Linked DNA regions of Tamandua tetradactyla. The protein of the gene in region 2 interacts with the protein of the main gene of each other region in a pairwise test. Links are inferred from orthologs where the notes say so. Each region holds a gene or a part of one and is shown on either strand. Other genes may lie near its edges. The genes, in order: GRAP, TRIM21, TXN2 and USP15.

Region 1 (7,391 bases), on a different chromosome or scaffold from region 2:
TCCACGGGCAGCTCTCCTCTGCTGAGCCCAGCAAGGTGGGGCCAGGTGGGACCAGTAGGGCCAGGTGGGACCAGGTGGGACCAGGTAGGGCCATTTAGGGCCAGGTGTGACCAGTAGGGCCAGGTGGGACCAGGTGGGACCAGGTAGGGCCAGGTGGGGCCAGGTAGGGCCAGGTAGGGCCAGGTGTGAGCAGGTGGCACCAGGTGGGGCCAGGTGTGACCAGTAGGGCCAGGTAGGGCCAGGTGTGACCAGATAGGGCCAGGTAGGACCAGGTAGGGCCATTTAGGGCCAGGTGTGACCAGTAGGACCAGGTGGGACCAGGTGTGACCAGGTAGGGCCAGGTGGGGCCAGGTAGGGCCAGGTAGGGCCAGGTGTGACCAGTAGGGCCAGGTGGGACCAGGTAGGGCCAGGTGGGACCAGGTAGGGCCAGGTAGGGCCAGGTGTGAGCAGGTGGCACCAGGTGGGGCCAGATGGTGGCAGAAGCTGAACACTCACGGGTGGGGCTTGATGTGGATGTAGTTCTTGGGGATGAAGCCCTCGGCACCCCGGAGCTCGGCCTTGTACCAGTTCTGGTCATCTTCCATGTTCAGGATCTGCGGGCAGGAGGGACGTCGCCAGTCAGCCCTGCCGAGGCCCTACGGCGCGCCACGCTGGGCTCGACCTCCCCCCGCCCCCTGCCCAAGGAGAAGGCACCGCGGACCCCGTTTCGGAGGAGAAGGTGGCAGCACAGCGGCAGGTCCCTCCTGGGTCACACGCTGGGACCTCAGCCTGCGTGACGTGGCCCTGCCCTTCCCCTGCCGAGGAGAGTCTGGTCCCGGTCGGTCCCCGGCCCCCCGGGGCAGGTGGGTCAGGGTGACACACAGGAGCCCTGGGTCATGGTGGAGGCTTGGGGGGCAGCTGGCGCTCCCGGGTCTCCAGTTCCACAGCGGGCCGCGGGGTCTTGGGGAGCAGACCTGGGGATTCACAGCCTTTGCACGGAGGCCCTGGGGAGAAGATCTGAGGACCCCGGGATGGTGGGGGTGCCCATCCTGGGACACTAGCATTTAAACAGCCCCCGCGGCCTGGGGCTGGCAGGAGGTACCTAGAGGGGGGAAGTGAGGCAGAGGAGCCTCGGGCTGTGGAGGCCGGTCCGGTCACAAGGGCTAATTTTCCATGGGGTGAGGGCCCCTGCAGCCACACAGCTGAGACAAGGGGAACTGAAATAGCTGCAGGTGAGCAACCAACCAAGAGGCTGGGGGCAGGTCTCGGGGAAGGGGCACGGTGGGGTGACAGCAGGCAAGCGTCACACCAGCCACCCCAGTTCTTATACGGCCCTCGGTGATAGACACGATGAAATGTTATTTATTTATTTATTTTTAGCTAGTATTTTTTTTTCTTTAACGTTTTCTTTTGAAATAATTTCCAATGTACAGGATAATTGCAAAAGTAATACAAAATCCACGCAGAGAACGCCAAGGTAACTTCCTCCAGATACCCAGCTCCACCGATTTCAACATTTTGCCACATTTGCTGTATCATTCTCTCTGTCTGTCCATCCATCCATCCATCCATGTGCCTATCATGTGAGTGCAGGTTCACACGCCAGGCGCCTGGAGCACTCAGCACCGCCACGCACATCTCCTAAAGTCTGCCTGGGTAACCGCTCCAAGCGCAGCTATCAAGTTCAAGAAGTTTAACGCTGACCTAATTCCGATTATTTCACATGCCCCAGTAATGTCCCTTTGGGCCTTTTCTTCTCTGTGAAAATATTATTCTGCAGATGAGAAAGCCCAGAGGGCGGAAGGGGCCTGGCTGAGGCCACGCCAACAGAGCCTCTACAGGAAGCCAACGCTCGGGGCCTGGGGTCTCTGGTTCAGCAGGCCTGGAGCGGGGCCCTGACACCTGTCCCTCCCCTGCACCCCCCCATCTCTTTGATCCTAATGGGGATATTTGTTGAGAGCAAAAACTGGGGGAGGGCAGCATCCCAGAGGGAGGGAGCCACAGAAGCAAAGGCTGGGGTGGGGGGTGGGGGCGGGGGCGGCCGATGCACGGATGTCAGCTTGGACGGTGAACTTCTGCCAAGAGGAGCTGGGGTCCCCCTTGGGGCCCAGGCCTGAGGCCCCAGCCCTGCAGCCGGGCACCCCTTGCCTGTGGAGGGCCTGGCTGAGCCCCTTCCAGGCCCTCTGCCCCAGGGATGGACGGAAGCAGCAGTTGTCTCAGTTTGGTGTATTTTTAGAGCACTTCCACTTAAAAAGAAAGAAAAAGAAGAAAAGCAAATAAAACAATCCCCAAATTAAAGAGAAAATGCAGGCTCATGGTGTGGCTGGGGACTCTAGAGGGTTCTGCCTGCCTCTGCCCGCTCTGTGGCTTCGGGCCTCAGTTTACCCATCTGTTAAATGGGCACATGAACCGGCTGGGTTTTGCTGACTGTAGGAATGTATGAATGGGTCATTCCCATTTTGGTTGTGTTTTCCTGTCAGGTTGACTCAGAGGCCCCAGATTGGCTCATTGGTTGCATAAGCTGAGTTCTTAGGGTTTATTGAAAAGCCAGACATTCCCCGGAAGGAGGGCCGCCCAGTGCCTCCCTGGTGAAATTCTCCTGCTGGAGGGGAAACGCACACCTGTGCCTGCCCCGAGCCTCTGCTCCTGTCCGGCCTCCACCCTGGTTCAGTGCGTGCACTCAGCACACATGCACTGAGCGCCTGCTGTGTGCCCTGTCTGCGGGTGCAGCTGTGAACATGGGGCTGCCTCCCATGGGGCAGGGAGAAGGAGCGGACAGGTAGCTGAATGTAGGGTACGAGGTTTGCAAAGTGCAAGGCGGGAGGACACAGATGGAAGAAGATGGGGCCAGGGGGCCAGGAAAGCCCTCTCCGAGGAGGTGACAAGAGCTAAGGCCAAAGCTGCCAGCAGGAATCGTCCATGAGAAGGTAAGGAACAGTGTCCGGGGCAGAGGGACTCACCCATGCGAGGCCTGAGCGGAAACGAGCTGCGTCCCAGGAACAGAAGGGACGGGTGTCTGCAGTGGAGGGAGGGCGGGGGCTGTGGGACCTTATTGGCCACTGTGGGAAGGGGCTCAGTGTTCCTTTGCAAAGCAGAGGGGACCCTGGAAGGGCAGACGGGTGGAGGGTAAGCTTCAGGCTACGTCCCTGCCTGCAGCGCGGAGAAGGGGCTGTGAGTGGGGCAGAGGGCATGTTAAGAAGTGGTCAGACTCGGGGTGGGACAGTCTGGGAGCTTGAGGCAGAGGATCGAAGGCGACTCCAAAGGTTTGGCCTGAACTCTGGCCAGACAGCTGCGGGGTGCAGGTGGGGGTGGGGTGGGGGTGTGTGAGCAGAGCAGTGGGGGGCGGAGCCGCGGCCAGCCTTCCCAGTGAGGTCAGGGAGGACCTGGGACCCCCCGTGGTCAGCCTCTCGGGGGTGTCTGTGGGGAAGGGGGGCGAGGCCTCCGCTGGGCACAGCAGGGTGCCGCATGTCCCCAAACACCTGGCTGAGTCCCAGGGAAGTGACCTTTGGGGCCAAGAAGCCTGGGGGGACCACAACCACAGAGTCTCCCCCAAGCCCAGGTCGGTTTGGACTAGCCAGCTTCTCGGCTGGGCCCAGCAGTGGGGGACAGTCATGGCATTGGCAGGACGGGGCAGCGGCTCAGCTCCCAGGCCCGCCGGGAGGTGACGGCCACGCTGAGGCCCCGACCCGGGGGAGGGTCAGGCAGGGACATTTTTAGGGTTACGTTAGCGGGGCGGGAACTAGAGAAGCCACGGAGGTGCTTCAGATACAAACTTCAAAGGGAAGCCGAAAACGTTAGCATTCAGGAGAAATAATACTTTTGTGCAACATGTTACAAAATAAAGAACGTCATCAAAATCTAAAAATGGATTTTAGCTCATAAAGTATAACCTAGGGTTGTAATGTTAGCAAATGTACCATATCCATATAAGATGTTAATATCAGGGAAACGGGATTATCTTCTCCAATGTCCTATGAATCTAAAACCGTTTAAAAAATAAGGTCTCTTGAGAACTTATGCAAAGACCCAGCAATGCCATACTCAGCATAAACCAGAAGCGCTGAAAGCAGCGACATGCCTGGGCCCTGCACACCGATGCTCCTAGCGGCGCTTTTCACAGCTGTCAAAAGATGGAAACAATCCAAGGGCCACCAGCAGAGGCGGGGATCAGCCAAGTGTGGTGTTACACAGGATGGAAGATTATGCAGCAGTAAGACAAGATGACGTCCTGCAGCACATGACAAGATGGATAAGCCCCGAGGACACAATGCTGAGTGAAAGAAGCAGACACAACAGGACAGATTCTGTATGATTCCACTTTTGTGACTCTGGCAAAGCCCAACTCAAGAGGCTTCCTGTAGAATGCAGGGGACCGAGGGTCGCATAGAGGAGTGATGGGTGATCGGTTACCCAGTGAGGCGGAAGTTAAATGTGAGGGAACGGAGAGAAGGGAAGGTGGCCCATTAGTGGGGTTATAAGTAGCATTGCTGCCCTGAAGGTGAATAGGACTGAAAGGGATTTATAGAGCCGTGCAGCACACTGATTAAATCTAAAATTATATATATTAAAAAAAAAACCCTGCAAAGCCTACCTTTTGTCCCCAAATGGTCCAATAGGTGTAAAGCTTTTTAAATCTTCAAAAAAAAAAAAAAAAATCAACTGTTCATTATTGACTACTTCTTTCCAATCATGCGATCTGTTTCTGTTTAATGCAAATCTGGGTAGAAGCTAGAAACATTTATCCCACATGTTAGGGTCATCCATAAATACTGCCTTTCATCTTTAAAAGCAGGCAAAAAAAAGGAAGCAAACGTACCAGAATCTTAAAGATGGGCTTGTCTCACTCTCGGACAAGCCTGAGAGTGAGGGGGCCTCGCTCCCCGCCCCCCAGCCCAGCCCCGGAAAGAATGCTTGTTTATCACAGAACATTCGGGAAATGCAGAAAAAGTAAAGAAGGAAACACAGATTCCGTAGGGGTCCAGTCACAGGGTAACTGTTAACTTATCAGGAATTTATTTCCAGGTCTTCGTTCCCTCTGCATTCTAGTCCACAAATGTCTACTACCCCAGCACACAATTCTGTCTACGGATTCTCTGTAGAAAGCCAACTCTCTCTTCCGTATGGGGCCATTTTTCTTCTGCTTTTTCATCACTTGATGTTGTATCATGAGCATTTTTATGTCATTAAACACTCTCCAAAATATTTGCTGGTGGAATAGTGTACATGCATCACCAATTTCCCTGTTTCCCAGGAGTAGAATTTCTAGGTCACGAGACCTGGATAGTTTTTTATTTTGGGGGGGACCTGGATATTTTTAAGGCTCTTTATATATGTCTCCTAAACGCCCTCCAAAATGCTTGTCCCTTGACCTGTCCACCCCTCCTCCCACATGAAAGTGCACATTTTTCTATACCCTCAAAAACCTTGGGGATTCTTTCTAAAATAAAATTTTGCTAGCTGGTAAACGGAAAACAGTTAAGTGTTCCAAGTTCCAAGTTGTCGGTTATTAGTGAAATTGAGTATTTATTGGTTTGCATGGCTTCTTTGGCAAATTTCTTGCTCATATCCTTTGCTCATTTTTCTACTAGGCTGTTTATGATTTCCTTGTTGATTTATCAGAACTCTTTACATATAAAGGGCATTAACAGTTTGTTGAGTTTTTCTTGGTGTAAATCACCTTCACTACAGTAGCTCCTCCCCATTTCCATTCTTGTTCCTCTGCTAGCTTTTTTTTTGTCATTAAAAAAAAATTTCATCAATAAAGCCAATCAACATACAATATGAACATTCTTTTTTATCACATAGTTGTATATTCATCATCATGATAATTTCTTAGAATATTTGCATCAATTCAGAAAAAGAAATAAAAAGAAAACAAAAAAATTCATGCATACCATACCCCTTACTCTTCCCTTTCAGTGATCACTAGCATTTCAATCTACTAAATTTATTTCAACAGTTATTCCTCCTATTATTTATTTATTTTCAATCCACATATTTTACTCATCTGTCCATAAGGTAGATAAAAGGAGCATCAGACACAATTTTTCACAATCACATAGTCACATTATGAAAGCTATATCATTATACAATCATCTTCAAGAAACATGGCTACTGGAACACAGCTCTACATTTTCAGGCAGTTCCCTCCAACCTCCCTGTTATACCTTAACTAAAAATGTGATGTCTATTTAATGTGTAAGAATAACCTCCAGGATAACCTCGCCACTCTGTCTGGAATCTCTCAGCCATTGACACTTTATTTTGTCTCATTTCACTCTTCCCCCTTTCGGTCGAGAAGGTTTTCTCAATCCCTTGATGCTAAGTCTCAGCTCGTTCTAGAATTTCAGTCCCACGTGGCCAGGAAGGTCCACACCCCTGGGAGTTATGTCCATGTAGAGAGGGGGAGGGCAGTGAGTTTGCTTGTTGCGTTGGCTGAAGAGAGAGGCCACATCTGAGCAACAAAAGAGGTTGTTTTTTGGGGGGTGACTCTTAGGCCTAATTTTAAGTAGGTTTAGCCTATCCTTTGTGGGGTAAAGTTTCATATGAAGAAACCCCAAGATTGGGGGCTCAGCCTATTGCTGTGGTTGTCCCCACTGCGTGTGAGAATATCAAGAATTCTCCACTTGGGGAAGTTGAATTTTCCCCCTTTCTCACGATTCCCCCAAGGGGACTTTGTCTGCTAACTTTTTAAAACACAAATCTGATCAAATCCTACCCCTGAAGAAAACTTGTTCAGTGAATGCACACTGTATTTAGGATGAAATCCAAATCCTTCACAGGTCCTTCTTTACCTGACCGTGCCAACCTCCCCCCAGCTGCTGTCCAGATGTTGGCCCTTTCTTTCAACTCTTCAGACTTGAGTATGCCCTGCCTCAGGACCTTTGCAGCTGCTTCCTCAGCCTGGCGCGCTCTTCCCGGCTCTTTGCATGGCTGGTTCTGCCCTCCCCTCCCTCTACCAGTCTCACTCAGCCCAGGGGTGAGAATCTGCTCTGACCTCCCCGTCTAACCCAGCCAGCCAGCCAGCGCCTTCTGCCTTTCCTCTCCCTGATGGCCTTCTCCAACCCACTGTCACCTCCTGATGTCCTTACTCATCTTATTGGTTGCCCGCCCCCCTGGGGGCTACCAGCGCCCCAAGGGCCAGGACTTTGCTCCTTGTCTGCTGTGTCCTCAGCACCTGGAACCAGGCCTGGCACAGGGCAGAGCTCAGTAAGTGTTTGTTGAGTGAATGAAGGAAAGCGCAGGTCCTCCCTCTCCTGCCGTTTCTCTGTTACTCCTTCAGCTTGAAAGTCCCCTTGCCCCCCACCTCCAGGCTCCATGGATTAGAGGTGCCAGTGGAGGTGGCTGGTGCCCCCACCCTGGCTGGCATTTTAGTCCATCGAGGGCCTACTGCACGCCTGGCGCTGGCCAAG
Region 2 (7,773 bases):
AAAGTTACTGAGATGTCCATTGTTTGATTCAACTGCAAAAAGTTGTATAATTATAAAAATTTAAAACGGACAGTCTTTTCTGTAAATATGTATTATGAGAAATAAAGAATGGCAGGACCATTGCTTTCATTAAAATATCTACTCCGATTTGGAGAGAGAAAAAAAAAAAGAAGCATAGCTGTTGGGCTTTTCTTCTGAGATACCTCTGTCAGTGAGAGGCAGCGGTGCTACCCTCTCACACGCACCCCTTTGCCAGGGACTGGGCTCAGAGGTGCAGGGGTCTTTGGGGTATGACTTGTCCTCCTCAGCATAGTCTCCCATGAACTGTCAAGATTTGTGTCTGATTAGGCCTCTGCTTCTAGCCTCTGTCTTTTTTACCTCCACCAGTTGAGGATGGTTGGTTTTTGTAGAGTGACGTATCCCTACTCTGTCACTGTTCAGACAGCTGTGCTTAGGGCCTTACTGAGCCCAGGATCTTAGATCCTGCCAGGCTTCTAATCTCAGGTCCGTTTTAGGGCATGATTCTTGCCTTCCAGGCTGTTCTCTTATTCGCAACATCCACTTCCAACTTCTCAGTCAACTCCTGCTCTTTCCTCAGCTTCTCTAAAGCGTCCTGGAGCTTCTCCTGGAGAGGAAGACAGCAAGTTAGTCCCCAAACAGACCAGGAAGTGTAGGGGGGGCGCTGTGGGATGCGGAGGTTCAGATTGGTTCTTAGAAAGGCCTGGGTACTAGAGTCTGAGTGGGGTAGGAGTTCTGCAGATGGAAGGACTTGAGCAAAAGCCTGATCTTTGCTTGCGGAATAGAGCTACACTGTTGGAGTCACGGGGGTGGGGGCGGGGGTGGGGGCGGGGGCGGAGGCGTTACTAGTTCCTAATTAACCGGGAAGCCACAAGGAAACGTGATTCTTGCAGCATTTTTCCATAGCACAGTCCCTGTTCCTGGGGACTGAGAAGATTGTGCTTAGTTTGCATTTCCCCTGGTATATTAGGCATGGAATAACCTTCCTTTCCCCAACCAGTCAACTCCAGGGGTACTTCTTGTTCATCCCCTGCTCTGGGGAGCGTCTCCTTCCCATCTGTCCATGCCTCCAGGTGAATGCCTTACCCGGTAATCCTGAGCAGCCTCTTCAATAGGGATCTTGGGGTGATCGCGGTGTTTCCGGGACTCGGCACACACCCAGCAAAGGGCTTTCCTGTCTCCCTCACAGAACAGGTGAAGTTTCTCTCCATGTACCTCGCAGTGGTCCCCCTTTGTGCCCTCCTTGGCATCTACGTTGATCTGCCGGAGGTTGTCCACCACGTTGGCTAGCTGCCTGTTAGGCCGGAGGTTCCTGAGCAGGAATTTCTTCCGGCACACGGGACAGGCAGCGCCTCCGTTTCTCCCCACCTCAGAGATGCATTCTTCGCAGAAGTTGTGGCCGCACTCAATGCTCACAGGTTCTGCTAGGGGATCGAGGCAGATAGGGCACGTGACCTCTTCCCACATCATTGCCAGGGGCTTTGCTGAGGCCATGGAGGTAACGTCCCTGCTAAGCAGCAGCACAGAGATCTTGTTTGGGACTATTGGGGAGACAAAAAAAAAGGAAAGAAGAGAGGGGTTATGGGAAATAAAAATGATTCAAAGGAAACTATAAGGGGGAGTGAACTGGAGGGGGTGAAAATAGGAAAGATGAGAACAACCTAAATAACAAAGACTCCTCCATAGTCTGGTCTGTTGATATAGTTAGAAAGAAGGGGAAACTGAGTCCACAAAAGAGGGAGAGGAAATTGTCTAGAACCTCAAAGATAAAGCTGTTTAAAATTCTTTCACCATGTCTATCGTTGCTTAAGTCCTTCAAATGGAATGATAAAGAAGGTGAAACAAAACAAAACAAGGGTGGGCCACGGTGGTTCAGCAGGCAAGAATGCTTGCCTGCCATGCCAGAGGACCCGGGTTTGATTCCCAGTGCCTGCCTATGTAAAATAAAATAAACAAAAAAACAACTCCTGATGGTTTACTATGTGCCCAGCCTGGGGCTGAGGGATGAACTCATTTAATTATATCACCTTCTCTATTTGAGGTGTGCCCACTAGGTATTTGGTTGGCGGGGAGGTCCAGGAAGGGGTTGCTGAAGTATGGGGCTCAGGCCATGGGGTCTCCAGCTTCACACAAGGACCATTTCCACCAACTGTCACTTTGGAAATTCTTGTGGTGATTTATTATAAAGATTCCCTTCAGTGCTCAGGCTTTTTCTATCCATCTTCTCCTATCCCACCAGCCCTCCATTTTGCTGAGAAGCTCATCATTATAACAGATACCATTTACTATGGCCCTTCCATCCTCCGTGTGCCAGAGAATGTGCTCCACGCTTTGCATACATCTTCATTAATCATTACAATAATGGCAGGAGTCATATACATAGAGGAGGAAGAAATTTAGGGATTTTGCTATTGAGGAACAGGGATGTGGAGTGTCCCCTGAGCTGCTGGGGAAGGGGTGGCCCCTGGGTGTACTGAGGGTGTGAGGAGGAGCAGGCAGGGGCTCCTGACAGGGACTCCTCTGAGCAACTGCAAACCTTCCTGTCTTCATTTGGGTATAGGCCAGCTCGGTCTTGAACCAGCAAGGAGCAAGTGGGGGGATGGGAGGAAAAAACATTCAGCTTCAAGGAAGGCTCCATACCTCATGCTGGGTTTCCCCAGCCGCCCGGCAGGCTAGACTAGGACCCAGCTCTTCCACCCTCACCTGCCCCCTCCCAGATCTGGCGTCAGCATCAGGGTAGCCCCAGCTTCTTCCTGGTACAAATCATACTCACTGTCCAGCATGGGAATAAGTTCTGGGCTTGGGTCCAATCAAGTCAGGAGCAGAGAAAGGACAATTCGGATAGAAGGCTCTCGGGTTGGAAGAGAATCTTCAAATCTGGGTAAGGGGAGGGAGAACAGCCCCCAGGGAGGGTCGGGCACCTTAATCTGGCCAAATTAACTCACTTTAACAGGGTAGTCACTGGACGGCAGGCGCTTATCAATTTCACTTTCGATTTCCTCTAAGCGGCAAGTCAGAAAAAAAAAAAAAAAAAAACCCAGGGGAGGAGTGTGGGCGGAGAAATGGGCGGGGAGGAGATGGAAACGGAGAGGGGCGGGGCAGGAGGAGGAGTGAAGAAGGGAAGGTAGGGAAGTGAAAGGAGTTGGGCCGGGGGAGAACGTAAGAAGGTTTCTGACAATGCCAGATTCAGGCTTCTTGGAGAAAGTTCAGCAGCAGTTCATCCTATGTGCAAGCTCGTTCCCATTAATTTAATTTAGGGGCCCCTCTCACATTTCCCCCTCCCAGCTCTGTGCAACTGAGGCTGTTTCCCTCCCAATTCCGAGGTCTGCAATTACTCTCTTCCTGTGGCTTATGGGCCCTCTTCCCTCCAGTGCAACTGCACACTCTAGAGCAGTGTCATAAGCTGCTCTGGGGGGAAACTGTCCCCTACTCGGCTGTAAGGCAGGAGCTGGGCACCCAGAAAGGCCGATCTGACGTGGTTTCTACTGTCTTCCTTCCAGTGAGCATTAGAGACACTAACTTCTGTGGATTCCTATGGTCTGAGCTGGGGGGATAGGAAAAGGGTCGGGTACCGTGGAAAGCAGATTTGGTTATACAGTTTGGCTGTCTGGGAAAGAAGACTTGGTGATAAATTAATAAATCTACCCAAATGTGCTTTCTTTGGCACTGGTCACCTTCCTGTATATAAATGCTGTGTCTGCATCTGGGTGCTGCTCCTAAAAGGGCCTGGCACTCCCTGTTATATACCACTACCTGCTTCCTGCTTCCATAAATGAATTCCTTTTCCCAAAACATGATATTCTTTCAACATCTGGGGTAAGAGATTTATTCTGCCCAACTGCCAAGCAGATATCATACCAGTGAGTGGCAAGAAGAAAACTAACATGTATTGAGGACCACCGTGTTCTTGTCACCGAGGTAGGGATTTTAGCAGGTTATATATATATATATATATATATATTTTTTTTTTTTGCATGGTCAGGCACCAGGAATTGAACCCAGGTCTCCAGCATGGCAGGGGAGAACTTTGAGGGCGAGCCACGGTGGCTCAGGAAGCAGGTATATTTTGTAGTTTACACAACAATTTAGCAAGTGAGGATTATTATTCTCATATTCAGGGAGGACAATGAAGCTGAGTGGAGTGACTTGCTTGAGTGACGTAGTAAGCAAAAGTGCACTAGAGTTAACAGTCTAGAAAAGATCCTCATTTTAGTGACAGCCCAGAGATAACTGGCTGCCCTGGCAGTTGAAGCAGAGGCTGCAGGGAGGGTTGGTTAGGGTGTGGTCACAAACTGCAGATGAGGAAGTAGAAAAGAAGGTGAGGAAATGGTGAGATTAGAAGAATTCTAAATTTCTTCCAGTTCATTCTGTGTGTGTGTGTGTTTTGTCGCTGTATAACGTAAGGTAAAAACATCAGTGAAGCTTCTCTTCATCTGTACAATAGATTTAGGAATCCTAAAAACACTTCATGCTTTAAATTTTCCAGTTCTGTTTGTAAGAGAATGTATAAGTGAAAGGCTCTCAAGTGACATCTAGTGTTCAAGCAGAATGAAAGAGTTAAAAAAAAAAAAAAAGAAAAAGCGACCAGTATTTGAATTTGCAGACACTCACAAAATGATTCTGCTTCACCTCAATGCATTCTTTGTGATTTCCTGCAGGAATTGAGTAAACCACTGTTGGGAGGTGTATGAAAAGAGCTTAGGGCTCAAAATAGAGCAGATGTGAGTTCAGTGCTGATCTTGCTATTTATTTCCTGGGTGCTCATTATTCTGAGCTTCAGCTTATTCATCTATTAAGCAGGGATATTAATATATACACCACAGGTTTATTTTGGTGCTTGTTCAATACTATGCACACAAATCAACTGGCAAAACAGATGTTATCATCTTACTAAAATAAAATAGAGGCGGAGTAGCCTTGGCCAATACCTTATCCACAAACCCAAGTAACATGATGGAAACTTGGGAGGGGCAGCCTTTCAACATAAAGTCAGTGGTAGGCAGGGCAGTAAAGCCAGCCAATCAGAAATAGTCACCTTAGGGTGGGGCATTCCATCGGGAACAGCTCAAATAAGGCAATGTAGCCTAGCTATCAAATCAGAAAGACTTACTGTATATAGGTTCCCAATTTCCGCTCCCTTCTTGGAGCTATTTGCCACTTTTGGGTTGGTGCTCCTGGATTCTGGAGTAGTTTGTTGCCCAGATAAACTTTAACAAACTTTTAAACACTGATCTTATACCCATTACCAAGGTGGAGATTAAGGCAAAGTTGATAATAATAGCTTTTCTTATACCACCCGTTCCAAATTCTTGTCACTGCCAGTACTTCAGTTTGTTCTTAACATGGCACGTGAATCTCTGGTCTTGAAGGAGCAGTATCCTTCATGTTCTTGCCTTATCGCATTAGCACACGTTGTCTTTAGCACACTGACCATTGTTACTTGATGAGAATAAGAATCTCTTCACCATATACCTTGGGTTATAGGTCCAGCCAGTCCTCCTTGCCCCACTGTGTACCAGCAACCCAAGTTTTCCTTGATAGTAGGGATGTCATTCCAGTCAGTTTGTAGGAACCCTCTACTCTGTCATCAGTGGTTTAAGAAACTCCAAATAGGCAGGGAACAGTGGCAGATTCCAATGATTGCAATCAGGTTTGCTTTCCCTAGTGGAAGGGCTTCTCTGTTATTTACTAGGGACCTACAAACCGGCAGAGTACTATGTTGTGGAGACTAAAAGGAAATATTCTGTAAATGAGTTACTTTTTAAATTTTAAAAAATATGTTAATTGGTAAAACTTAACATACGAACATTCCATACATGGTGTCATGGTCAGGTTCATGTGTCAACTTGGCCAGGTGGTGGTACCTGTTTGTCTGGTTGGGCAAGCGCCGGCCTGTCTGTTGCAATGAGGACATTTCATAGGATTAGGTCATGATCACGTCAGCTGCATCCACAGCTAATTCCATTTGTAATCAGCCAAGGGGAGTGTCTTCTGCAATGACTGATGCTTGATCTAATCACTGGAAGTCTTTTAAGGAGGATTCAGAAGAGACAGGCTCTGTTCCTGTTTCAGTTGGCAAGCCTCTCCTGTGGAGTTTGTCCAGACCCTCCATTGGAATCGTCAGCTTCACAGCCTGCCCTGCAGATTTTGGACTCCGCATTCCCGTGGTTTGTGAGACACTTTTATAAATTTTATATTTGTGAATGTTTCCTGTTGATTCTGTTTCTCTAGAGAACCGTAACTAATACGCATGGTGAACAATTAATGGTTTACAATATCATCACATAGTTGCTTGTTCATCACCATGATCATTTTTTGAACATTTGCATCACTCCAGAAAAACAAATAAGAAAAAAGAAAAAACCCATACAGACAATACCCCTTATCCCTCCCTCTCATTGACCACTAGTATTTCCATCTAGTCAATTTATTTTAACCTTTGTCACCCCTATTTTTAAATTTTTAATCCGTTTTTTGTAAATGAGTTATTAATGTGATAGAAACACGGGCCACTTTCACCTCCTTCCCTTGATTCTTTGACCAATGTGTACATATTGGATATACGTTTCAAAAAGTTACCACATATTGCTTGCTGATTTTAAGCATGTACCAGAATGTATAGGAATCGCCATCATTCTTACAGGGTGGGGTTTCCAAATTGGTGCCATAGCTGAGCCTTCAGCAGGCCATTCCACAGTTTCATTGGGCCAGCTGCTTCTGGCTGATGGGATACACTGTAAAACCAGTGCATTCCATACAGCAAGCCCAATATCAGAATTCTTTGTCTGTAAAATCAGTTGTAAGTATGCTTGGGGTACCCTGATTGTGTAAGTCTAAAAGTGGTGGTGCTGGCAGAAGCATTATAGATGGGAAAAATAAAACTGTCTTTGGAATATATACCTATTTCATAACAACAAATTTCTTTTGGTTCAATATAACTAATCTTCCACTAGAAGATTATCTACACCCTCCTAGAAATAGTGAAAAGTTGGGCTCAGAGTTGACTTTTCATATTCAGGTATCTATAGCAGCAGGGATAGAGGATGTATCTGAGGTAAATAGCATAGACTTTACCTCACCAAGGCTTATCTTTTTCCACTACTGATTTGGATGCTTGTACCTGAGTCCATTGAACAAGCAACAGGTGGCTGGGACAGAAGCTGATCATCTATCTACCTGATAGATTGCCTTCTCTGCATTGGATACTTTTTGGTAGGTATTCACATGGGACAAACATATTTTTGTACTCTGGACTGTTTTCTAGAAGTTCAACACATACTTCTCCCCATACCTCTTTATCATCAATCTCAGATAATCCTATCTGTTCAAAATTGTCAGGTTATCAGTTTATATATAGATCTGAAGGGAATAATCATTTGCTTGAAAGCTCTTCCCATTGGAAAGATTTCCCTTCATCCCTCTTTTTCAGGGTGATCTGTATTGGACACCAGTCTTATTTGCCATTTCAGAGTCTCTTGACCCTATCTTTTATTCTTAGCATCTGCTGGTGCTGGGCCATCACTACATACACATATACTGGAACTTGGATGAAACATCACACTACAGGGCATAGGATCAGATTTCTTAGCAGCTATCATGGGCCCAAATGATATGACCAAAAAAATGTGGGGAGTCAGGTCCCTGTGGAGTGAATATTAGCCAATGGGAAATAGGAGGCAGGAGAGAAGTTCACTTTTGTGCTGGATGCTGTGTAATATCTTCAGGTCTTTTAGTGTACTTATTGCATTTGCTTCT
Region 3 (7,741 bases), on a different chromosome or scaffold from region 2:
CACTATAAATTTTGCCAGTGACACTTTAATAAACGAAAATCCTTAGCTCCAACTCCAGCCTCACCACATCTTGGAGGGTGGTGGGAAAATCACAGTCCACAGATCTGCATGGGAGGATGCCTTTGCCTCTAACCAGCTGTGCACCCCTAGGTGAGTCACCTGTCCCCTCGAAGATTCAGTGTGCTCCTCTGTAAACAGTGTGCAGGGGACAGAATGCCAACCCCATTTTACAGATAAGGAAACTGAGCTTAGATGGCTTACATTACAAGGATTCAAATCCAGGTCCTCAGGACCTGTTCGTTTCACCCACCCAGGCTTCACATCTGTAAGATCAGCACACCAGAGGCCCACCTTCCCAGCTCAGGCCTGGGATTTCTATCCCGACCTCATACTGACACTAAAATGTACCTTTTCAAAGAGCTTTGTACATTTTAACTCCCTTATTGACAAACAGTATCAAAGACACAGAGTTGAGGAGTTGATAAGGAACAATGCCAGAAAGAACAACTGACTTGCCCAAAGCCCAAGTGGGTTAGAGGTAACGTCTGGTGATGACCTAGCTCCAATTCTGAGCCTAGCACTCATTTCTCTGACCTGCAGCTGCCCCCTGTTCACAGACTGGGAGCACAGCAGAAGGGTAAGGGATACAAAGAGATCTGACAAAGACGAAGGGTCCACTGCTGCCCCACCCCACCCCGCCACCCGACTCCAGCCCCTTGCAGCTGCAGGCTATGCTCTGCACAGCAGAATCTGAGCCAGCCAGTCCTGGCCTGGCAAGGGCACATGAGGAGCCTCACCCCAACATAAGCCCTGGGGCCCCAAACTCTAGGTGTCTACCGGGGACACTGGCCTGGCACTGAGGAGGCAGTGAGAGGGGTGCCTTAGGCCCACCTATATCACAGCCTTGACAATCAAGAGTTGCCATCCCGAATACGCAACTATGTGATGATATTGTGAATTACTGATTATATAAGTAGAACGGAATGAGCATATATTAAGAATATGTGTTTCATTCTTGTAATTTTGTTTTAAGTAATAAAATTTTAAAAAAAAAGAGTTGCCATCCCTGAATTACAAATTATGCTGCTGTTCCTGTGTTCATGTTCTTATTATGATTCTCAAAGGGGGTGAAGGGACATTGTGTAACTGCTGGAAACATGACAGAAGGCGAATCACAACAGAACATGAAACCAGCTCCCAGAATTGCGAAATATGTCACAGTTCTCATTGTTCTGCAACAGCATTAAAAAAAAAAATCACAAAATTAAAATCAAATGAAGAGATTCAGAGAGAGCAGAACAATGAAGCCATGAGATGCAGAGAGTCCACAAGCCAGCAACCTTTGGAGATGAAGAAGGAAAACGCCTCCTGGGGAGCTTCATGAAACCAGAAGCCAGGAGAGAAAGCTAGCAGATGACGCCATGTTCACCATGTGTCCTTCCAGCCGAGAGAGAAGCCCTGACTGTGTTCACCATGTGCCGTCTCACTTGAGAGAGAAACCCTGAACTTCATCGGCCTTCTTGAACCAAGAGTGATGCAAATGTTCTAAAAAATGATCATGGCGATGAATATACTACTATGTGATGATATTGTGAGCCATTCACCATACACAGAATGTCTGTGTTAAGAGTATTCGTGTCTATGTTGTTTTGGTTTGATAATAAAAAATAACTTAAAAAAAAAATCAAATGAAAACAGAAAACAAAGATACACTGGAAGCCGTATCTCTTGGAGAGACACTCTCAGCTCAGACTGTGGCCCCACCACCCCTCTCTGTGTTTTTTTCTTCAAAGTGCCTCCCTTCAGCCACAAAATCTGCAGCTTGGTGCAGCCCTCTCCCCTGTGATCCTGCCTGCCGGGGCCTGAGGCAGCCCACGTCCCAGGACCGTGATCCTTGCCTGGGGCAGTTACAGCACCATTCAACTTAGTTTTTATACCAATTCCACCTCCAACTATCGGGGTGACCCTGGACAAGCTACGAAGCCTCTGTGTGCTATAACAGCACCAACCTCGTAGGGTTGTGAAGATTAAAGGAGTTAATATAGGTAGGTGCTCAGAAGAGTGCCAGGTGTTGAGCAACGATTCGATGCATCTGTAACTTTCAAACCCATGGGAAGAGACACCTTTTATATCACAACCTTACACATGCAGACATACATACCTAAAAACAATAAGTGTTTTATAAAACAATACTTAACCTTATTACATGCAACATATTCTAATATTTTCCACTTCCATTTTTTTTTCAGTGCTCATCACAACCCTCTACGTTGATTTCACAGCCCACTGTTGGCTCATATCCCAGTCTGCAAAAACACTGTAAGGGGTAGCTGTAGAGACGTTCCCCGTAGCCCTGGATGCCTGGCTTCTTTCTCCTCCCTTCATATCTATTCCCTGAGCCTGCCTTGGGACTGAGCCAGACACAGGCTAGTTTGGCTGGGCGGGCAGCAGACCTGTGAGAGAAAGCATAGCGGGGGGCATCACGAGAAAGCTGGACAGGTCCTCTGTGGCCTGCAGTGAACTCAGTCTTCTCTATGTGTCTCATAGGACTAGAAATAATTTGCATTGTGAACTAAGCTGCGAAATGGGCTCTGTGGAAGAGAGCTGTGGAAATGCTGAACAGGATTAATAGGTGGTTCTGGAACAGTAAGTGCTGGGTATACAAAAAAGCAGAAATGAAAATGAGTAAGGTGGAAGCACCCCTGCCAGATGGCACATGGCATTAGTAGGAACAGCTGTACTCAAGGATGGTGACCTCAGGAAGAGCCAGGAGCACTGGGGTTCCGCTGCTGGGCCACCCCCGTTGGCTCCAGCCCTGGGGGGAAGCAGAAGCTAAAGCCAGAGGTCAGACAGGATGTGGGGGCAATGCCTGCCTGTGCCCTCACCTAGTCTCCTGCCTCTGATAGACAAGGAGGTCCAGTAAGTGGAAGGCTGACATAGCTGTTATGGGCAAACAAATGTGGACCTGTTCCAAGGATTCGCTCACCACATCCCAGAAGAGGATCCCTGAGCAGCTGTGGCCTCTGGAGGGTGAGGGGGGAGAGGACAAATAATAATGCCATGTGGTCAACATAAGCTGGAATAAGACATTCCAAGGATTTTGGAAGAGGGTAACGTAATGTAAAGAGGAATTTGGAGTCCTAAGATTTGAGTTACATCTCTATTCTCGGTTCATTCAACCTCTAAACACCTACTACCACGCACCAGGCCTGGAGGTTAGCAATGGAGAGACGAATGGGCCTTGCAAAAGCTGGCAGTATAAATGAGGAGTGAGGAACAAAGAAGCAGCCAGTAACAACACCGAGTATTACCTGCAGTGACTGACAGATGTCCAGGTGGCTGTGGGAGCACAGAGGAGGGAATCTGTCTCCAACTGCAGAAGTTCAGGGCAGGGTTCCCAGAGCTGAGTTTGATCTGGAAGCATTTTCTCAAATAGAGAGTGGAAGGAAGGGCCTTCCAGTTATAGGCAGCAGCAAATGCATAGTACAGGAATCAGAGGCATTTCGGCAAACCCTGGAAGAGTGAATTCTCAATAGTGATTCCCAGAGCAAGAAATGGAGATGTGACATAGGACTCTGCCACTTTACCTGCCTGATAGCCTTGACTGACTAGAAGCCACTCCCCGAGATACCCAAAGATACTCAGTTTAATAACATCTATTGAACACCCTCTGTGAGCCAGGCACTGTACCAAGTGGGTGCTGGGCATACACAAATTATAAATAAACACCATAAATCCCTAATCTTAAGAACACAGTGTAATGGAAGCGACAAGCACTCTACAATGTGCTATGGGAGTTCTGAACAAAGCACTAGAAGAAGCAAATAATATTGCTCAGAGAAGAGGCGACAAGACGGCCCAGAAAGGATGAATAGGCTTTCTACCAGGTGAAGAGAAAAGAAAGCATATAAAGAAAAGCGCGGAGGCATATAAGAAAAGACAAGGGCCCAGGTGTCTTCAAGGAACAGAAAGAGGACCTGAGGGGTCAGATGTACCATACAGAGAGAAGGGGAGACAGGCGGTGGCTGGGCCACCAGCCTGGGGTGCACAAAGGTACCTAGACCCCTCTGTGCAGTGACAACGGATGTAAAATGAAGGTCTCAGGCCCAAGCAGGTTCAGAGGTCACATGTTACCTGGCGCCTCAAAGGCAGCAGTCCCCAAGTATCACGACCAACGGGCCCAGCTCCCCAATCACCCTACAGAGAATAACCTGAAGTGACTAGGGGCACAAGCCCAGCCCCTCACACCACAAACTGGGGAACTGAAGCCGGGAAGCGGTGAGTGACGTGCCCCCAATCACGAGGTCACAGACAAATGCCACAAAGTGGCCTTTTGACTCCCAGTCAGAGTCTTTTTCCCCCAAAATTGCACTACGCCTCTGAGAAGCTTAACCTCTTCATCCGTAAAACGGAGGGAAAGAAGCTTTCAAAACCTCTAGGAGTCGTCGGGAGGCTGTGAGGTAAACGGCGTGACCTGGGTTGGTTGAGCCGTGAAGAAACAGGAACTTGCAAAGCCCGGAACCCGCCCTTAACTCCCTCTGAGCCCGCCCCCGTTGTACCCGCCTTCTTCTACCGCCTCTTCCGGTCCCTCCTCCAAGGTCTGCCCGCCTCTTCCGGTCCCTCCTCCAGGGCACCCCGCCACTTCCGGAACTTCACCAAAGGTCCTGCGCTTTATTTGTGCCGTATCCTGCCGTTCCCATTGGCGGAAAATCTGGGCGGCCCCTGCGGGAGCGGGGAGAAGTGCTCCAGGTCGCCGATCCCCGGAAATGACGCTTAAAGACTCTCTCCTAAGGAAGTTACGGCAGGAGTGCCCTTGACGGGCGGGGAGGGCCGGGCTGTTCATCCCTCCGCTCACACTACGGGGAGGTAGGAAGCCGGTAGGGATGACTCGAGGCGGTGGTCGCAGCTGAGGAGCACAGCGGGAGTGTTGCAGCGGGGGAGGCTCTGGGAGTGGGGAGCTGGCCCTCCCGGGAGCCTGGGCTCCAGGTTGCGTCCGATTTCCTTCCATAACCTGTGGCCCTTCTGTTGTCATTCCCCTCACACACCTGTTCCTGTGCCTCTTAGTTCCCTCTTGAATTGTTGCGGGTCTTCTCTCCTGATCCCTCAGCAACTCCCCCTTTTTCCTTATTTTCCCATTAAAACACCTTTTAAAAAGAGTATTTGATAGAGCAAAGGCTTAGCAGTCAGCTTTGGGTGCCAGTGTTGACGCTTTCATTTAATAGTTGGGTTAATTCAGGCATGTCACTTAACCACCTGAGCCTCAGATTCCTTGTCTGTAAAATGGGCACTATTTTAGCAACTTCTCAAAGTTGATGTGGAAGCACTAATAATATATGTAAGGCACCTGACCCTGGCTCATAGCATGTGTTTTCTAAATATTGATTCCTCCCACCTCCCTTCGATTGTAATTCCACTTATATCCTTATTTGTCAACCCATTTTCCTAACTCTGGCTTGCCATTCCTTTTTTTTTTTTTTTTTCTTTGTCTTTTCTTTTTTCCTTGGATTCTCATTCCCCACTCACCTCTTCTCCAAAAATCTTACACATTGTTTCCTTATATTTGCTTCCTACCTGCATCTCTCTGAGCCCTGCCCCCACCCCCTACCCCTGTACTCCCAAATACCTTTCTTTTTCTGGTGCATTGACTTCGTTTAGTCTGCCCCAGCTCTTCCTGCCTCTTCCCCTCACAGATGGCTCAACGACTTCTTCTGAGGAGATTCCTGGCCTCCATCATCTCCAGGAAATCCTCTCGGGGCCGATGGACACCCCTCACCTCTGGGGCCTTGCAGAACCTGCAGTGCAGCCCTGGTGGCCTTGCAGCAACACCCAGCCCAACCCAGACAATACACACCACCAGGGTCTGTACGACGACCTTTAACATCCAGGATGGGCCCGACTTTCAAGACCGAGTTGTCAACAGCGACACACCAGTAGTTGTGGATTTTCATGCACAGTGAGTACTGGGCATCAGCAGAAAACTGGGGTCTCATTTGTTCAGTTGCTGGACTGCCTGTTTTGTCCTAGCACTAGGCCCAGTGCTTCTCATATAAAGACTGATAAGACGTGGTCCCTGCTCTCAAGGAGTGTGCAGTCTGATAGGACACAGCCTAGTAAATAGTTTAAAACTCATTGAGATCAGTGCTGGGATAGATTTAAGTTCTGTATCTCACCGTCTGAATACCTCAGAGTCATCTTCAACCTGGAACAAAGCAGGAAAAATATGACTAGAACATCGTCTGGACTTTGATGTGTAGGAGTTCCTGGTCCAGAAGATAAGTTGATTTTATTTGAACATTTGACCATCAAAACTGTGGAAAGGACTGGCAGAAAGTTATCGGTGATCCTGTAGTGGAGCCTGAGCGTGCATGGGCTGGCAGGAGTTTCTTTTCAGTGTTATATAAAGTTTTAGGGATAGTTAAATGCCTGTGGCCTTCTGGTATTTAGCCTGGCCTTCTTTGTTTACAGACCTTGAAGCTTGCCTTGATCTCTGTCTACAAAAAAGCTGGACAGACTCCTCGGATTGAGGGACCTGGGAGGAGCCATCCTACCCTGAGTTAGAAGCTGGAAGGCCTTTTGGGCAAATCTCTGACACATTCTTTTGCTCTGTTTCCATTTCTTTCTCAACTCATGGTGGCGCCTTGGGCAGGCCATTTGAAATCTTTGAACCTCCCTTTCTTTACTTATAATGGAGATATGGTCTTGCAGACTGGGTCTTTCAGTGTTGAAGTCTCTGATGAAAGGGGTTTGTTGGTTTTTTAGTTTTGTTTTGTTTGCATGGGCAAGCACCAGGGGTTCGAACCCAGGTCTCTGGCATGGCAGGCGAGAATTCTGCCACTAAGCCACTGTCTCACTGCCCTGAAAAGGGTTTTAAAACCTGTGAATAAAGTAGTTGTCAGCCAGAGATTAGTGGAAGGCATTGTTGTGGTACACTCCTGGTATGGTAGTATTCTAGAGAGGGCTTCAGAAACAAATGATACATGGGGTGAAGTTTCATTTTCTTCTCCCAGCAAGGAAATAGGTTATAAGTTTGTTCATTCAGTGCCAGGCCCTGCCCTTGGTGCCGCATACATAGAGATGGCAGCATGGTGTCTGTCCTTGAAGAGCTCACCACCAGGAAGGGACTGCCTATACAGGGCAGTGATGGCTGTTGGTGCAGTGGCTGTGGAACCACAGAGTACCCCAGGCTGAAGGAACAGATACATGTAGCACTTCCTTGGTTGCAGTCTCAGCTGTGCTTCTTACTAGCTCTGTGATCTTGGGCAAGTTTCTTAGCTTATATGGGCCCCAGTTTCTTCGGAGGATGCTTTCTCTTCCTTTGCAGTAAGAGCTGGGGAGGTGCTGACGTGGTGACGGGCCCGTTGTTCAGGCTCCCTAGCCCCTGGATTCCCTCCCTTGATTTTTGAGTATACGTGTCAGTTCACAGAGCATGTTTATCCACATTGCCCGTGTTGATTTCTGTAAGAACTTTGAGAGTCAATCTGTTTTTCAAGTGAGGACACTGAGGCGCCAGAACATTCAGATGATTGCTCAAAACTTTAAAAATCAAATCCCATATTCTTCTATATGATAGTATATTTTTCTAACATATATTGGAATAAATAAAATAACCTCTGTGAGTCTCAGAAAATTTTCCCAGTTGCACAGTCTCCTGGCATCACCAATTGGCATGTAAACATTGCAGGTTAATATTCAAACACCATCAACAGAGCCAATAAGGGCAAGCGGTTCCCTCAGAAAGATG
Region 4 (7,317 bases), on a different chromosome or scaffold from region 2:
AACAGTCCATGGTTTAACTTAGGGGTCACTGTTTATATAGTGCAGTTTCATGGATTTAAAAAAAAAATTTATCCTATGACCATATATATATATATATATATATATATATATATATATATAACATATCCCTTTTAGCCATATTCAGATACATATTTCAGTGCTGTTAATTATGTTCACAATGTTATGCTACCATCACCACCATCAATTACCAAAATATTTCCATCATTCCAAATAGGTGCTCTGTAAATTTTTTTTCAAGAAGATAAAAACAAAGGTAAAAAGAACACCAAAAATATACCATCCCCCATCCCCCCATTGTTTATTTTTTTGTCTTTTTTTTCTTACTCATCTGTCCTTACACTGGATAATGGATAATGGGAGTGTCAGTCACAGGGTTTTCACAATCACATGGACAGACCTTAAAAGCTCTATAGTTATTCAATCATCTTCAAGAATCAAGGCTTTTAGATTACAGTTCAACAGTTTCAGGTATTTCCCTCTAGCTACTCAAATATACCAAAAAGTGAAAAGGGATATCTATATAGTGCATAAAAATAACCTCCAGAATAACCTCTCAACTCTATATGAAATCTCTCAGCCATGGAACCTTTATTTTGTTTCCTTTCTCTTCCTCTTTTTGGTCAAGAAGACTTTCTCATTCCCATGTTACCAGGGCCAGGCTCATCCCCAGGAGTTATGTCCCATGCTGCCAGGGAGATTTGTACGTTAGGAGTCATGTCCCATGTAGGGAAGAGCGTAGTGGGTTTACCTGTGAGTTAGCTTAGAGAGAGAGACCACATTTGAGCAACAAAAGAGGTGACTTTTGGGCGGACCATGGTGGCTCAACAGGCAAGAATGACCAGGGTTTGATTCCCGGTGCCTGCCCATGTAAAAAAAAAGAAAAAGAAAAAAGAGGTGACTTTTAGGCATAGTCTTAAGTAGGCTTATCCTCTTCTCTTGTAGGAATACATTTCATAAGGGCCAGCCCCAAGAGCTAGGTTAAGTTTTTTTGTTGTTGTTGTTTTTTTAACATGGGCAGGCACCAGGAATTGAACCCAGGTCTCCGGCATAGGTTAAGTTTTAAATGGACAAGAAAGGTACAAAGGGTCTGTGAAGGCAATGAGAAACACTTAAGCAAATAATACATTCTTATAAAGTTGATTAAGGAAAACATCAGTAAAGCCACACAATCTAAATAATCAAATGTAGCCTTTGATTTATATTCTGTTATCTGTGTGAGTCAAGGTCAAATAATTTTTCTCATAAATTATCAACTTAGCTATTCAGTAGGGATGTGGACCTTAATCAATTCAGTATTTACAAACATCTCATTTCTCTTCATAATTATGTTTGCAAGTAGAACCATAAATAAATAGGCAGAATTTTCATAAATTAGTAAACTGAGATCACTAAAATTTTAATTGCTATAAACAAGATCATAAAGGTAGCTAGAAAAATAGAAACTTAACCAAATCTTTTAGATGCTGGGGCTAGACTGCTTGGGTTCAAATTTAGGTTCTTTGCCTCAATTCATCATTTATAGAATGGGGATAATAGTGGGACCTACTCATACCACTATTGGTACTTGTATCATGTTTAGAACCATGTTTAACACTTTGTAAGCTTGTTAAATAAAATAACTAGTATTTGTTTCCTGTCTCTGATGGCAACTGGTTAGGTGTACAATACAACCTCATAAATCTGATGTATAATTCAAATTTACAGTGAATTTACGCATCTATAACCAATTAACTCAGTTGCCTTGAACATGTGTAAATGAGGACAAAATTATTTTACTTTGTTATATGAGTTCAGGCTTCAATATTTCAAAAATACATCTTCTTTGAAGGGAAAATTGGACAGCAAAGTGTGAATGGTGCATCACTTTTTGGTTATGTTATGTCTATAAAATGATAGGGAGGAGTTTGCCTTCAAAATTCTTAATGCTTTTTCCACCAGTAAACAAAGCTACTATTTATTGACTGGTTATTATATCTCAGGCAATAAACATGTGTTGTTTCATTTAATCCTAATAAAAATCTTTTAAGGTAGGTATTTTTATCCCCAATTCTAAAACTACAGTAAAGGTTAGGTACTTTGCAGCAAGAAGCTGAAGTGAGGTTTGAACTTAGGACCATGTGATGCTAACATTCTTTCCATGTCATGCTGCTTCTCTGTGAAAAATTATTTTCTTTCAGAGGTTGGGTGAAAAGGGGGAAAATGTAATCCTTTCAGGGTACTTATCTATTCAGTAGGGATGTGCACCTTAATCAATTTAGTATCTACAAACAATATCTCATTTCTTTTCATAATTATGCTTGAGAGTAGAAGCATAAATAAAAGAAGCAGAATTCTCATTAATTAGTAAACTAAGGTCACTGAAATTTTGATTTCTATAAACAAGATCATAAAGGTTGTTAGAAAATTAGAAGCTTGCCTAAACCAGGTAAGTTTGGGGACTCTGGAACCCGAGTCAGCTTTAGTTATTTTTCTAGCCCGTCCATAAAAAAAGCCAAATAATGTAAGAAATAGCAAAGGCTGGAAGCTGTTTTCAGACTCTCAAAAGGATGACATGATAGTGCACAATAGTATTACTATGCAGAAAATAAGCAATCATAATGCTGAAAGACACAAATCATAATGCCAATATGTACTACTTTCACTTGGGAAGGTTTAACACTTCTTATTGGCATAATTACATCCATCTTTACTGCATTCTCAGCAAATGAGTTAAAAATGGGAAAATGAGAAAGATCATATAGGGATTTTCATCATCTTTTATACTTTTCACAGCATTATGTTATCTTAATCCCAAATCTATGGACATCTTCATCCTTGAAAGATTGAAACAGTTTTGCAACAATTCATTTATTAAACAAATATCTAGAAGGAAGTTTTGTATTAGGCAGCGCTGTACTAGCCACCAGACGTACAGAAATTTGGCTTTTTTTTTAAAAGATGAACCCAGTTCCAGCCCTTGTAGAGTTTACATTGTAAAGCCAGTTGTGCTGTGATTGTGATTGTGATTGTGATGTGATGGTGTGATGTGATGTGATGTGATGTGATGTGATGTGATGTGATATGGTGGAAAGCACGTGCGTTTTAGAACCTGGGTTATAAACTTGTCTTTCCACTTTGCTGGCTGTGACCTTGGCCAAGGCCTTTCATATTGAGAGACTCGATTTCCCCAATTGTAACATAACTGTTGGCATCAAATAATATTTGATTGGTCTTATTTCTAGTTTCATTTCAGGTGTATACACCATGGAAAGATGAGGCTAAGAAAAGATTACCTTCCGATACTGAGGAGACAGGGCTAACTCGCACGTTTTATTATCATATGGTGCTTGGCATTATTGAATACGTATTTTATGCCCTGTTCACTGAGGAACTGGGACATGTTTTCCACTGCAGCTAAGCTGTCTGGGTGCGCCTGGAGAGGCGTCACAAAAGGTCCCCACCTGCAGCAGGAGTAAGCACCTGGAAGGAGACCGAGGAGGGCTTTGAGGCCAAGCGTTGTTGTCCTGTCGTCCTTTGTTTTGGCCAGTATTCACCGAGGTCGAGTTCCGGGACTCGCGATGAAAAGACAAAAATCAGGAGCTGATAAAATTTTCTGCCAGGGATTGATTAGCCGTCCCCACACCCCTTGTCCCACCCCACCCTACCCTCTAGCGTGAGTGAATGCGCTAATAAGGGTTTTCGGGCTTTCGCGAGAAAGAGGGCAGGAGAAGGCAGAAGTTGAGATGGATCCGGGTATGGCACTGCTCAAACGAGAGAGCCTCGGATACCCGGCGGGGGAAAGCTAAAACCAGGGGATCCGGATGGGCATAGGTAGTGGCGGAGGCAGGTTGCTGGGAAAAGGGGGGACGATGGGGGGCAGCAGACCACGGCCGCGTACTCAGTGCACACTCCCGAGGCGTACCCCCCTCCCCTTCCTTCTCTTTTGGTTTCGACCTGGCGGCTGGGAGGGGCCGCAGGACGCCATTCCCATAATGCTCTGGGGCTTACCGCCGCCGCCGCCGCCTCCGCCTCCGCTACCGCTAGTGGAAGAAGATGGCGGAAGGCGGAGCGGCGGATCTGGACACCCAGCGGTCTGACATCGCGACGCTGCTCAAAACCTCGCTCCGGAAAGGGGACACCTGGTGAGGAAAAGGGGTTGAGGTGTCCTCAGTTGCCCAAGGATGGTGGGGAACTGGGTCGGAACCATGGGCTGGTGTCTTTGGCTAGTGACAGGTGCGGGCAGGTTCGGCGGTGGCCGCCCTGGGCAACAGGATTTTGGCCGCTCCCGAAATGTTGGGGCAGGAGATGTGGGCCAGGGCTAGTGGTCTGTCGGGGCGTGCTGAGTGAGAGGTGTGTGGAAGCCGTATCTGCGGCTCGTGTAGTTCTCTTCGACCTCCTTCCCTCCGTAGTGCCGCTCCCACCTCGGGCCTTCGCGAACGATAGGTTAGAGTCGTTTGGCATGAGTCTTAACAGTGTTTTGACAGATCCCGGTCCTGCGATTTATCACGGTCTAACCCGCTTTATTTCTCCAGTCGTTTCCTTTCCTGGCATTGTCGGCATCTGAGTTTGCTCTTATTTTGATTCTTATATTCTTCCGGAAGACAGGATGCAGGATGCAGGATGTTTGCGGTTAGTACTACACAGGTGGCACGTGTCAGGGCACCAATTAAGAGAAGGAAACCCTAGTCTAAAGGAGGAAGAGAAGTAGGGAACCTTAGGCTTATGAGAAGTGACCACGTGGTCTTCTGCTTCAGTGGAGGCTCGTTAGAAGCCGGCTGCGACTCTTTGGAAGTGCAGCTCTCCCCTCCAGTTTCAGTGATAATGTAGGCCTGCAAAAAGTAGATAAGGCTTAAGTAACGTAACAATTTACAAACTTATGAAACACCAAAAGGAAATACACTTAAAATGCTGAAGAAGGTGTGGAGACTAATACCTTTTGGCCATATGAAGTGGCATCCAAAATAACATAAATTTGTGAATATGTGGCATAAAGATAAAATGCTTAGTTTATTGCGATGATGAGAACAAGCATGCCTTTTTTTTATGATTTGTGTATATGTGTTTAAAATAAAAATACAAATACATAATTTTTCTGAAAACAGCTAAGGAACATACTGTATTCATTGTGCTTCTTTATAATAATAAAAACTTATTTTCATTTCCTACTGTCACTATAATAATGGTATATAATTTGCAGTGTTTTTTTCATGTACTTTATTATGACTTTTAGTGGAAGGAGCATATGATTTAGACCTGAGTTATGTTACAGCTCCACCACTTAACTTGTGGAATGACTTTGGGGAAAGTTCATTTAAATCATTGCACCTCAGTATCTTCATTTAGGAAATGGACAATAATAATTTCACTATAGGGGTTTCATCTTGATTTAATTAAATATTCTAATTTCCAAAAGAGACATCAAGTTTCAGTTACCGTCTTATCTCCTCTCTTGAGAATACACCTGTGGTATTAGTACCATTTTCAAGTAAACTGGTGGATGGCAAACTTGGGATTTAAATTTAAATGATACGATGTAAATCCTGGCACTATTTTTCTACTTTGTCAGACTGCATACTATTTTTTTTATATAACAAAAATTCCTAAGGGTGTCAAATATTTCTGTTGCAATACAGCATAAATTATAATGTTTGAATGAATTTATAATCGTTGTTCTTCAAGTTGGAATGTTCCTAAGATGTTTATTACTGTGGGAAAATGGACTTTGGCCTGTGTGCTTTTAAAGGTGAAATCAATCCTTGATTCCTTTGTATATTAAAGAACATTTAACAATTCTTTATTCATCTAGTCAGTTACCCCCGCATAAAAAAGATAAATGTGGATTTCCTTATAATAGAAATATGTAAGTTAAAATTTAGATAGTATTGTTTCTTTTTAGTCTTGTCATATTTTTGATACACTGAGTAATAATTGGTGGTGTTGACCTTAGAGGATGATACAAGTGCTGAGTGTATTGTGGTCATTAAACTTTTAAGTGCGGCATTTTTTCAAATGAATGTATTTTTGCTTTTTATTTACAAAGTTATTGTAAATCATTTTAAAGGGTAAATACAGGTGGTCTATAAACTTGAGTTATTTCAATGGTTTCATTTTAAGAAACTGAAGCCCAGATATTTTAAGTAACAGCAGAATGTGTAGGTTTTTATCAAACATTACTTTTCCCTCTGAATTAAAGAAAAAAAAAATGACAGGAACTATGTAGTGCTGGGCAGTTGCAGAAACCAGTTTGGTTTATATGTGAGCCATTTTACTTGCCATTTAGCAACTGAAACCTGGCAAGAACTTTAGAGTAAAACTCTGATTTGGTCTTTTAAGGAAAAGTATAGATTTGATCATATCCTTAAGTTCAGGACTGGTAGAGATATTTAATTTAGTTATTACTTGGGCTTACATATTGGAACTCAGTAAAAAGTTAGATTTCTCTTTTTAACGTCTCTTTTTAAAAGTTTCAGATTAGTTTTTTCTGGGTATTTGGTCAAAGCTTGTTTGTTTTAAAGCTGGAATGGGCCATATGCAAATGAACATTGGCTTTGTGTGTGTGTGTGTGTGTGTGTGTGTGTGTAGGATAACCATCTTTGAAAGACTGGGCTGGGCGGGCCGCGGTGGCTCAGCGGGCAAAGTGCTTGCCTGCTATGCCGGAGGACTTCGGTTCGATTCCCGGCCCCAGCCCATGTAACAAAAACGGAGAAACAGAATACAATAAAACAAGAAAATGTTTAAAAATGTTTCCCTTTCTTCCTTCCTTCCTTCCTTCTATCCTTCCTTCCTTCTCTCTGTCTTTCCTTTAAAAAAAAAAAAAAAAAAAAAAAAAAAAAAAAAAAAAAAGAAAGACTGGGCTATTGGGGAAAAAATGATGGGTTTACCATAAGTTTATTTCTGAAACTTAAATACAGATGATTGAAGTTATAGTCAAATGCATTAAAAAGAATACATTTCACCGATGAGTGTATTGTAGTACTCTGGTAACTCTTAATACTTAGTCGGGTATTAAGATTCATTTGATTCTTAGGTGAATGCTAGAGTTTCTGCTTATTTATAAATAATGACTGATTTTTACTGCAAATTAATTTTCTCCAGTTGCAAATTCAAGTTACACAAGTCTGAGATGAAGAGGAACAAACTCTTGATGATACCCTTGGTTCTAGACTGTATAATAAGAAATAAGCCAAAGCTGATACAAGAGAGCAAGACAATAATATGGCTATTAAAAAGTGAGGGTAAGGGCGGGCCACAGTGGCTCAGTAGGCAGGGTTTTCGCCTGCCATGCTGGAGACTCGGGTTTGATTCCCGGTGCCAGCC

Evidence for each region.
Region 1: the proteins of TRIM21 (region 2) and GRAP interact in binary tests that used the Homo sapiens proteins (3 or more experiments, as listed by UniProt). The two-hybrid records come from large-scale screens. The link is inferred for Tamandua tetradactyla from reciprocal best matches to the Homo sapiens genes TRIM21 and GRAP.
Region 3: the proteins of TRIM21 (region 2) and TXN2 interact in binary tests that used the Homo sapiens proteins (3 or more experiments, as listed by UniProt). The two-hybrid records come from large-scale screens. The link is inferred for Tamandua tetradactyla from reciprocal best matches to the Homo sapiens genes TRIM21 and TXN2.
Region 4: the proteins of TRIM21 (region 2) and USP15 interact in binary tests that used the Homo sapiens proteins (3 or more experiments, as listed by UniProt). The link is inferred for Tamandua tetradactyla from reciprocal best matches to the Homo sapiens genes TRIM21 and USP15.

Annotation. Positions count from the first base shown.
Region 1 is NC_135332.1:2,185,119-2,192,509, forward strand, and holds the start of GRAP (GRB2-related adapter protein), read right to left. Parts: upstream 3,186-7,391; 5' UTR 3,171-3,185; coding exon 2,940-3,170; intron 594-2,939; coding exon 496-593; intron 1-495. UniProt on the Homo sapiens protein: Couples signals from receptor and cytoplasmic tyrosine kinases to the Ras signaling pathway. Plays a role in the inner ear and in hearing.
Region 2 is NC_135334.1:75,426,427-75,434,199, forward strand, and holds the start of TRIM21 (E3 ubiquitin-protein ligase TRIM21), read right to left. Parts: upstream 3,007-7,773; 5' UTR 2,802-3,006; coding exon 2,792-2,801; intron 1,560-2,791; coding exon 1,105-1,559; intron 626-1,104; coding exon 530-625; intron 1-529. UniProt on the Homo sapiens protein: E3 ubiquitin-protein ligase whose activity is dependent on E2 enzymes, UBE2D1, UBE2D2, UBE2E1 and UBE2E2.
Region 3 is NC_135333.1:28,801,697-28,809,437, reverse strand, and holds the start of TXN2 (thioredoxin, mitochondrial), read left to right. Parts: upstream 1-4,629; 5' UTR 4,630-4,866; intron 4,867-4,872; exon of another isoform or gene 4,873-4,986; intron 4,987-5,690; coding exon 5,691-5,953; intron 5,954-7,741.
Region 4 is NC_135333.1:129,774,083-129,781,399, forward strand, and holds the start of USP15 (ubiquitin carboxyl-terminal hydrolase 15), read left to right. Parts: upstream 1-3,983; 5' UTR 3,984-4,053; coding exon 4,054-4,142; intron 4,143-7,317. UniProt on the Homo sapiens protein: Hydrolase that removes conjugated ubiquitin from target proteins and regulates various pathways such as the TGF-beta receptor signaling, NF-kappa-B and RNF41/NRDP1-PRKN pathways.